2 linked regions of the Pelodiscus sinensis genome follow. The protein of the gene in region 1 interacts with the protein of each later gene in a pairwise test. Links are inferred from orthologs where the notes say so. Each region holds a gene or a part of one and is shown in the gene's direction. Other genes may lie near its edges.

The links.
Region 2: the proteins of EXOC1 (region 1) and SFR1 interact in a two-hybrid assay, tested with the Homo sapiens proteins (2 studies listed by BioGRID and IntAct). The link is inferred for Pelodiscus sinensis from reciprocal best matches to the Homo sapiens genes EXOC1 and SFR1.

What each region holds. Positions count from the first base shown.
Region 1 is NC_134715.1:84,576,471-84,580,218, reverse strand, and holds the start of EXOC1 (exocyst complex component 1), read left to right. Parts: upstream 1-1,189; 5' UTR 1,190-1,405; intron 1,406-3,748.
Region 2 is NC_134718.1:70,960,923-70,964,670, reverse strand, and holds the start of SFR1 (swi5-dependent recombination DNA repair protein 1 homolog), read left to right. Parts: upstream 1-978; 5' UTR 979-1,076; intron 1,077-2,453; exon of another isoform or gene 2,454-3,748. UniProt on the Homo sapiens protein: Component of the SWI5-SFR1 complex, a complex required for double-strand break repair via homologous recombination. Acts as a transcriptional modulator for ESR1.

The sequences.
Region 1 (3,748 bases):
TTTATTCTGAAGTAATGAATAAATTCCAAATCAGGTAATTCCTTGCAGTTTTAATAGGCTATGGATTTCTTCATTTCTTATCCAAAACTCTTGGGTGGTTTTGCAAAGTACTATTAAATAACTTCCGCTTTCAATTCCAGATATATCTGCTTTTCCATTATGTGTAAGGTGAGCCATTTGGCCTTTACTTATCTGAAATTGGGGTTATGGGACTTAATGTAAAGTGAATTTACTACTCAAACAATGTGTTATGTTGTGTCGCAAATACTCCCACTCCAGTATTCATGGATATTGTCATTTGCAAGGATCTCAAGAACATATCGCCCCATGAATAGCGAGGACTTCTTGTGATCACAATTGTATTCTGTATTGTAATTTAAATCAATATGTATTAAAATGTAGAAAAATGCCAAAAATTTAATACATTTCAATTGGTATTCTATAGTTTAACAGTGTGATTAACTAAAAAATAAATTCTGCTTGGTCACAATTCTAATCAAGAGTTAACTGCAACTGACAGCTGTAGTAATTAATGTTACTTCCAAAACAAAAATATCCCCAATTTTTTAAAAAAATTATAAAATCTTTTAGCTGTCTCCATCACAAAGCCATACACAAACATCATATACCTCAATATGCAATCAACGTTTGCTTTTGTTGCATCCTACTTAGAACCATCATTTGGTGTTTTGTCTACCTGGTTGCAAACTCATTGGGACCAGGCACTTTATCTCCATATTTTCAGGTAAAGCTCTGCATAAGGAATGAGACTAATAGTATTTTACATGCCATTTGGACTGAATTAACCCCGTCAGTGAGAAGTAGAGGGCAATTCTCTCTGGAGTTAGGCTGCATCCCCAGATCACCTGCCAAAGGGATTCTAGTCAGCAGAAAGATAAATGTTAAAACATACATTTTAAAATGTAATTCTGCTCTCAGGTGCTTTGGGGGCCCGACTCTGATGACCCTGCTGCCCCACTTTGCTCCACTCTCCCCATGCACACCACAGGAGTTAATGAGCCTTCCGCCTCCCACAGTCCCAGATCAGCTGCCCCCCATCTCCTCCACAGGTGAGCCCTCTCCCTCATGCCTGAGCTCCTATTGGCTCGTTCCACCGTTTCCCCGCCCAGTTCCTCGCAGAGCGCGGCGGTGGCCGGGCTGTTGTCCCTCCTGCCGGCAGGGGTCGCCCTCTTGAGACGCGGCAGCCCTGAGGCCCCTCCCAGTGGGCTGCGGTGTTTCCGGACCCTGTCACGTGACAGGAAGAGGTCGACGCCGCGGTTCTGCGTTGCGGCAGCCGCGGCCGGATCTCTGCGAACGGTGGCGTTAGATGGGTCGGAGGCGGAGCCGCTGCGGCCTAAGGAGGAGCCACCACCCCAGCCCCTGCGCCCGCCTGCGCGGCCCCGCGGTAAGGGAGGGGGGCGTCGGCTCCGGTAGCCCCGCTGTGCACAGAGAGCTGCGAGCATCCCTCGCGCGGAGCCCAGCGGCCCCGCCTGCGCCTGGCTCCCGGCTCTGCAGGGGCAGCCCCGCGCGCTGTGGCCTGACCCCCCCCCCCCCGGCCCCTCTCTCCCTCCTCGCCATCGGCGGCGGCCACGGGCATCACGCCGACCGGGCCCCGCGGCGTCACACGTGTCTCCCGGCACCGAGCGGGGGCCAAGGGGCGCGGTCCCGTCGGGCCAGGCTGGGAGCGCCCCGCGGGAAACGCGTCAGCAAATGGGGTAAAACCCGCAGCGCCCGCGACGTGGGTTCAATGTCTCTCTCGAATAGACCGGAGTGTGTGTTGCCCGGGATCTCGGAGGCGTTTAGGTGCAGTCTCGGGAGGGGGGACTGGGTCTGTGCTGGGACAGGGGCCAGTCCTGCTGCCTGCTCCGTGCCGGATACAGGACATTCACCCTGGGAGTTCAGCATATGTAGCTGTCGTGGCGAGGCATACGTTGAAAGCTTGGAACGGGCTGTTCATTATAATCTGTATAATCTCTTCTGCATATATTGCAGATAATACTGACACCAGAGACAAATAGGACTAGCATATGTATGATGTAGGGGACCTAAGCACAACTAACAGTCAGTGCTAACTCTTAAGTTGCTCTAGTTATGTTATTTAGGGGTAACACTGGAGACCTGTAGTTAAGTTGATCTAAACTTAACTAGTATGGAGGCCACTAGTTAAATTACATAATTTACTTAACTTAAATTGTAACTTAGATTGATTTACAGCAGGTGGGAGCCAATACACTCAGGGAGCCAGCTTTTAAGTTGGCCCCCTGTGCATGCTGTACAGAGCTGCCTCCCACCCACCTGCACTCATGGCTCCCACAGAAGCAGCAGCATGGGTTAGGGCAGCCAGGAGCTGGTTCTCATGGGGAGTCTGCTTAAAAGTGGGCTCTCTGCAGGCACTGGCTCCCGCCTCCTTTCCCCACATGTAAAAGTGTACCTGCTAAAATGTTCTGCTAGTACACAATTATACAAATAACACATTTTAACATCCCTAATGTACACATTGTTCTGGTAGCTTTGGTAGCGTCTAAGGAAAATGTTTTGCTGGGTTTAATCTGTGTTGTGATATCAGTACAGCCTATGGCAGTGTTTCCTCAATGGTGTTCTGTGGAACCTCGGGGTTCAAAGTGAAAATAAGGGTTCTGCAAGAAAATATTGTCATTTTTGTTTTTAAATATTTGCAATTAAACTAAATGGTGATCTCATGACCTTGTTTAGCATTTGTTTATTATTATCCTTACTTATTTGTGGTCTCCTTTTTCAGTTCCATATATAAGACTCTTATTAGGGGTTCTGCAAAATTCTTTCAAGTTTAAAAGGGTTCTGTGGCCAAATAAAATTGGGAAACATTGGTCTACGGCATCTCACTAGACACTTATGTAATCTCATGTACATCTTGAAATAGAGAAGGAGACAGCTTCTAAGAATATTTAGGTAAGATGATTATGGAAGAGAAGCAGGTACTGATTGCTACAGTGTGTGCAATTAGAGAGAAATGAATGGTATTGCAGATTATTCGTATTACTCTTTTATTACTTTATCTGCCTTTGAGCCAGGGTCATGGGTGAAGACTGCATTGTGCTAGGTGCTACACAAACACAGTACTGAAAGATAATTCTTGGCCAAAGGAGCTTGTACTCTAAAGACAAGACATGAGACAACATATGGATTCAAACAGATGGAGTACAAGGAGACAGAGACAATATTGGTCGTAAACAGTGGTCACAGCATATGAGCCCCCCTATCATCAAGGGTGATGGTTTGCTTTTTTTGAGGGGTGGGAGCATCACAGCGAGAGAAAGTATTAAGGAGGGATATGAAGGAAGATAAGTGGATAGCTTTTTGAATGTTTATGGTGAGCTCTTCTCAAGTACAAGTGAGAGTATGAGAGAGAGCACAAAAGTGCTTATTTGAAAACTAACAAGTGAATTATGAAGGCTGACCTCATGGGCCAATTGGAGGTGATGATCAGTAGCCAATGAAAGACAAGCAAGGTGCGGATTGTCTATGAAAGTACTTGAAAGTGAAAATGAGCAGTTTAATGTTTGATATCCTAAAGGAGGGGGAGCTAGTGGAGGGATGCAAAGAGGGATAACATTGTTGAAGTTGCAATGCTGCATTGTCTCATTTAGCTGTGTTAGGTTCATAGTACTTACAGTGAACTGCAGCAAAAATTGCAGAGGCTATAAGATCAAATGGCAAATGTGTAGGGGCATATTACAGTCACTATTTAGTAGTAGTTAGGAATCTTCAA
Region 2 (3,748 bases), on another chromosome or scaffold:
TGGTTCCTATTTCTGTTTTTCCTTCAGAATACCTAAGGGTACGTCTACACAGCAGCATTATTCCGAAATAACGTATTGCGCGTCTACACAGCAAGCCCATTATTTCAAAATAAATTTGAAATAATGGACTTCTTACTCCAACTTCTGTAAACCTCATTGTATGTAAACCTATTTCGAAATAAGCGCTGTGTAGACGTGCCCACATTTGAAATAAGCCTATTTGGGTAGCCTGTTTAGATTTTAGCCCTGCTGTGTAGAGGTGCCCTAAGTGGGTGGTGCCAAGTGGTAACAATGGAGCAGCAGCAGATCACACAGGAATCGGTCCGGCCAAAATGGGCTACGCCAGGTCTGCCCCAAGAACGAGCCCACGGGCTGAAGGAGCAGAGATGGTCTCCCATGTCATGGGGGCTTGTTTCCAGCCAGTTTTTTTGCTCCTGTGAGGGAGAAGCTGGCCCAGTTTGAGTGAAATGCCCAGGGGCAATTCTCCCATTGCCACAGGACTGGCACTTGGGGTGGGCCACGGCCCAGCTGAGAGGTTGAGTGCAAGGCACTGGGTCGACTGGAGCAAGGCGGGGATCACTGGTCACCCCCTGGCGTGACTATTTGCTGCTGTTTTGTCATGGGCTAACCAGCTACCTCATCTTGGGGGGTGAGGCGTGGGGGCTGCCCACTGGCTGGGGGCATTGCACAAAGCTGAAGGGGGTGGTTAGAAATTAAGCACCTGAGTTCTCCCTCGCCCTGACTCCTAATCAGCCTGGGCCAGGCAGCTCTACAACCCCAACCTCCTGCCCCCAGGTGGGCACCCGCCCTGCTCCACTCATTCCCGCCCGCCCGAGTCGCTCCCCTCTGGCCACGTCCACCCCGGGAGCGGAGTGTCTCTTCGCGCGCCCGACCGCGTGCTGTGCCTCTGCTGCCCTGGGAAAGGGGGCGGGCTCGGAGCGCCTCTTTCCTTCGCGCGCCCGCCCGCCCGCCTCGAACTCGTCGGCTCCTCCCCTCTCGCGAGCGCGGCGGGAGACTGGAGCCGTTTTAAACCCGCCCGAGCCGGGGGCCGCAGCCGGCGCACTGAGGAGCGTGAGGTACCGGGGGGGCCCCTCCAACCCCCCCCCCGCATGTGTGGGCGGGGCCTGGCCCCGGGCTAGCGGGGTGACCCCCCCGCATGGTATTGCCTGGGGGGGCTATGTGGAGTGATCCCCCCCCCCGCATGGTATTGCCTGGGGGGGGGCTATGTGGAGTGATTCCCCCCCCCCCGCATGGTATTGCCTGGGGGGGGGCTATGTGGAGTGATTGCCTGGGGGGGGCTATGTGGAGTGATCCCCCCCCCCGCATGGTATTGCCTGGGGGGGCTATGTGGAGTGATTCCCCCCCCCCCCGCATGGTATTGCCTGGGGGGGCTATGTGGAGTGATTCCCCCCCCCCGCATGGTATTGCCTGGGGGGGCTATGTGGAGTGATTCCCCCCCCCCGCATGGTATTGCCTGGGGGGGCTATGTGGAGTGATTCCCCCCCCCCCGCATGGTATTGCCTGGGGGGGGCTATGTGGAGTGATTCCCCCCCCCCCGCATGGTATTGCCTGGGGGGGGGCTATGTGGAGTGATTCCCCCCCCCCCGCATGGTATTGCCTGGGGGGGCTATGTGGAGTGATTTCCCCCCCCCCCGCATGGTATTGCCTGGGGGGGGGGCTATGTGGAGTGATTTCCCCCCCCCCCATGGTATTGCCTGGGGGGGGCTATGTGGAGTGATCCCCCCCCCGCATGGTATTGCCTGGGGGGGGCTATGTGGAGTGATTCCCCCCCCCGCATGGTATTGCCTGGGGGGGCTATGTGGAGTGATTTCCCCCCCCCCCCGGCATGGTATTGCCTGGGGGGGGCTATGTGGAGTGATTCCCCCCCCCGCATGGTATTGCCTGGGGGGGGGCTATGTGGAGTGATTCCCCCCCCCGCATGGTATTGCCTGGGGGGGGGGCTATGTGGAGTGATTCCCCCCCCCCCGCATGGTATTGCCTGGGGGGGGGCTATGTGGAGTGATTTCCCCCCCCCCCGCATGGTATTGCCTGGGGGGGCTATGTGGAGTGATTTTCCCCCCCCCCCGCATGGTATTGCCTGGGGGGGGGCTATGTGGAGTGATTCCCCCCCCCCCATGGTATTGCCTGGGGGGGCTATGTGGAGTGATCCCCCCCGCATGGTATTGCCTGGGGGGGGCTATGTGGAGTGATTTCCCCCCCCCCCGGCATGGTATTGCCTGGGGGGGGCTATGTGGAGTGATTTCCCCCCCCCCGGCATGGTATTGCCTGGGGGGGGCTATGTGGAGTGATTTCCCCCCCCCCCGGCATGGTATTGCCTGGGGGGGGCTATGTGGAGTGATTTCCCCCCCCCCCCGGCATGGTATTGCCTGGGGGGGGCTATGTGGAGTGATTTTCCCCCCCCCGCATGGTATTGCCTGGGGGGGGGGCTATGTGGGGAGCCCAGGGCTAGTGGGGGACCCTGCTGGCCCCGTGCTTCCCTCAGTGCTTTTGCCTTTGAAGTGTAGCAACCCCCTCCTCTTCCTCTCCCCCCTTGCTGCCTCTTTCTGCTAGAGGCAGCAAGGGGGGGAGCGACTAGTCAACTAGTGTGTCAACTGTCTGATAAGCATTTGCCCATCGGATAGTCAACTAGTCATTCACATGCCTAATAAGAGCTAGGTATTAATGTAACTTCATTGTCCGTGAGCTTTGCACCCAAATTAACCAATGCAGAGCTACATTGGTAGCTCTTATGGGCTAATCAAATAGTCAATGCAAATTGCATTGACTATTCAATTAGCCACTTAATTTAAATTTAACATCCCTAGCTCTTATAGTGTCTGTTCACTGTACATCTGAAAGCTGTTCAGAAAGTAAGCAGCATTATTGTGCAGTAGGGGAAACTGAGGCAAGGAAGGGACCAGCCCAAAGCCTCACTGTAAGTCAGTGGCAGAGCAGAGGAAAAGATAATGCTCTCCTAAGTCACAGTGGTTCTATTTACAATGGAAGAAGCAGTTTTTACATGTTAAATAGTGTTTTTGCATAGGAATAAAATTGATCCTGATTCATAAAGGGAGGATTCTTGCTATGCAGGACCAAGTTGCTGAGACCTGTGGAGAAGTGCAGTTATAGATGCATGCTGATACCTGGGCACCCTTGGAAAATTTGATTTAGTAGAATAATGTCTTGAAGAAGAGTAACCTGTGTGAAGGCCAACAGTGAACCATTGAATTTCAGAAAGGCATTGAGAATTTTGTTGAAGGCCGTTTTCAGGTTTTAAAATGTTCTCTTGCTTAGTAGGGAGAGATTTACCACATAATCTGTGAAATACTGTACTGTATAGGTATGGTGTATATTTTTCCTAACGTCTTACTTCATAGTTTAAGTAGCTTACCACTATGCTATGAAAATAATTTATCACTGTTACATTCTGCAAATGCTACCCATTTCAGATATTAGTTGCTAAGACACATGACTAACAGCCTTTAAAAAAATAGCCTAAAATAGAATAGTGTGTGCTGAATCTTGAATGTAAAGGGTAACGTAGTTTTGGTTTAGCAGTAAGACAAATAAGGTTAATATCTTGTCTATGCAGACCTGGCCTGGATTGCCTTGTCACTTTTTGTTTCAAAGAGGATTTGGAGAGCTGCAGGTTTAGTGTTAAAAGCCTGTTGTTGAGAGAGTACTTCATGTAAATTTAAACAAGCTATGTGATCAGTGTAAAATAAAATGCCCTTAACTTTAGGAGGCT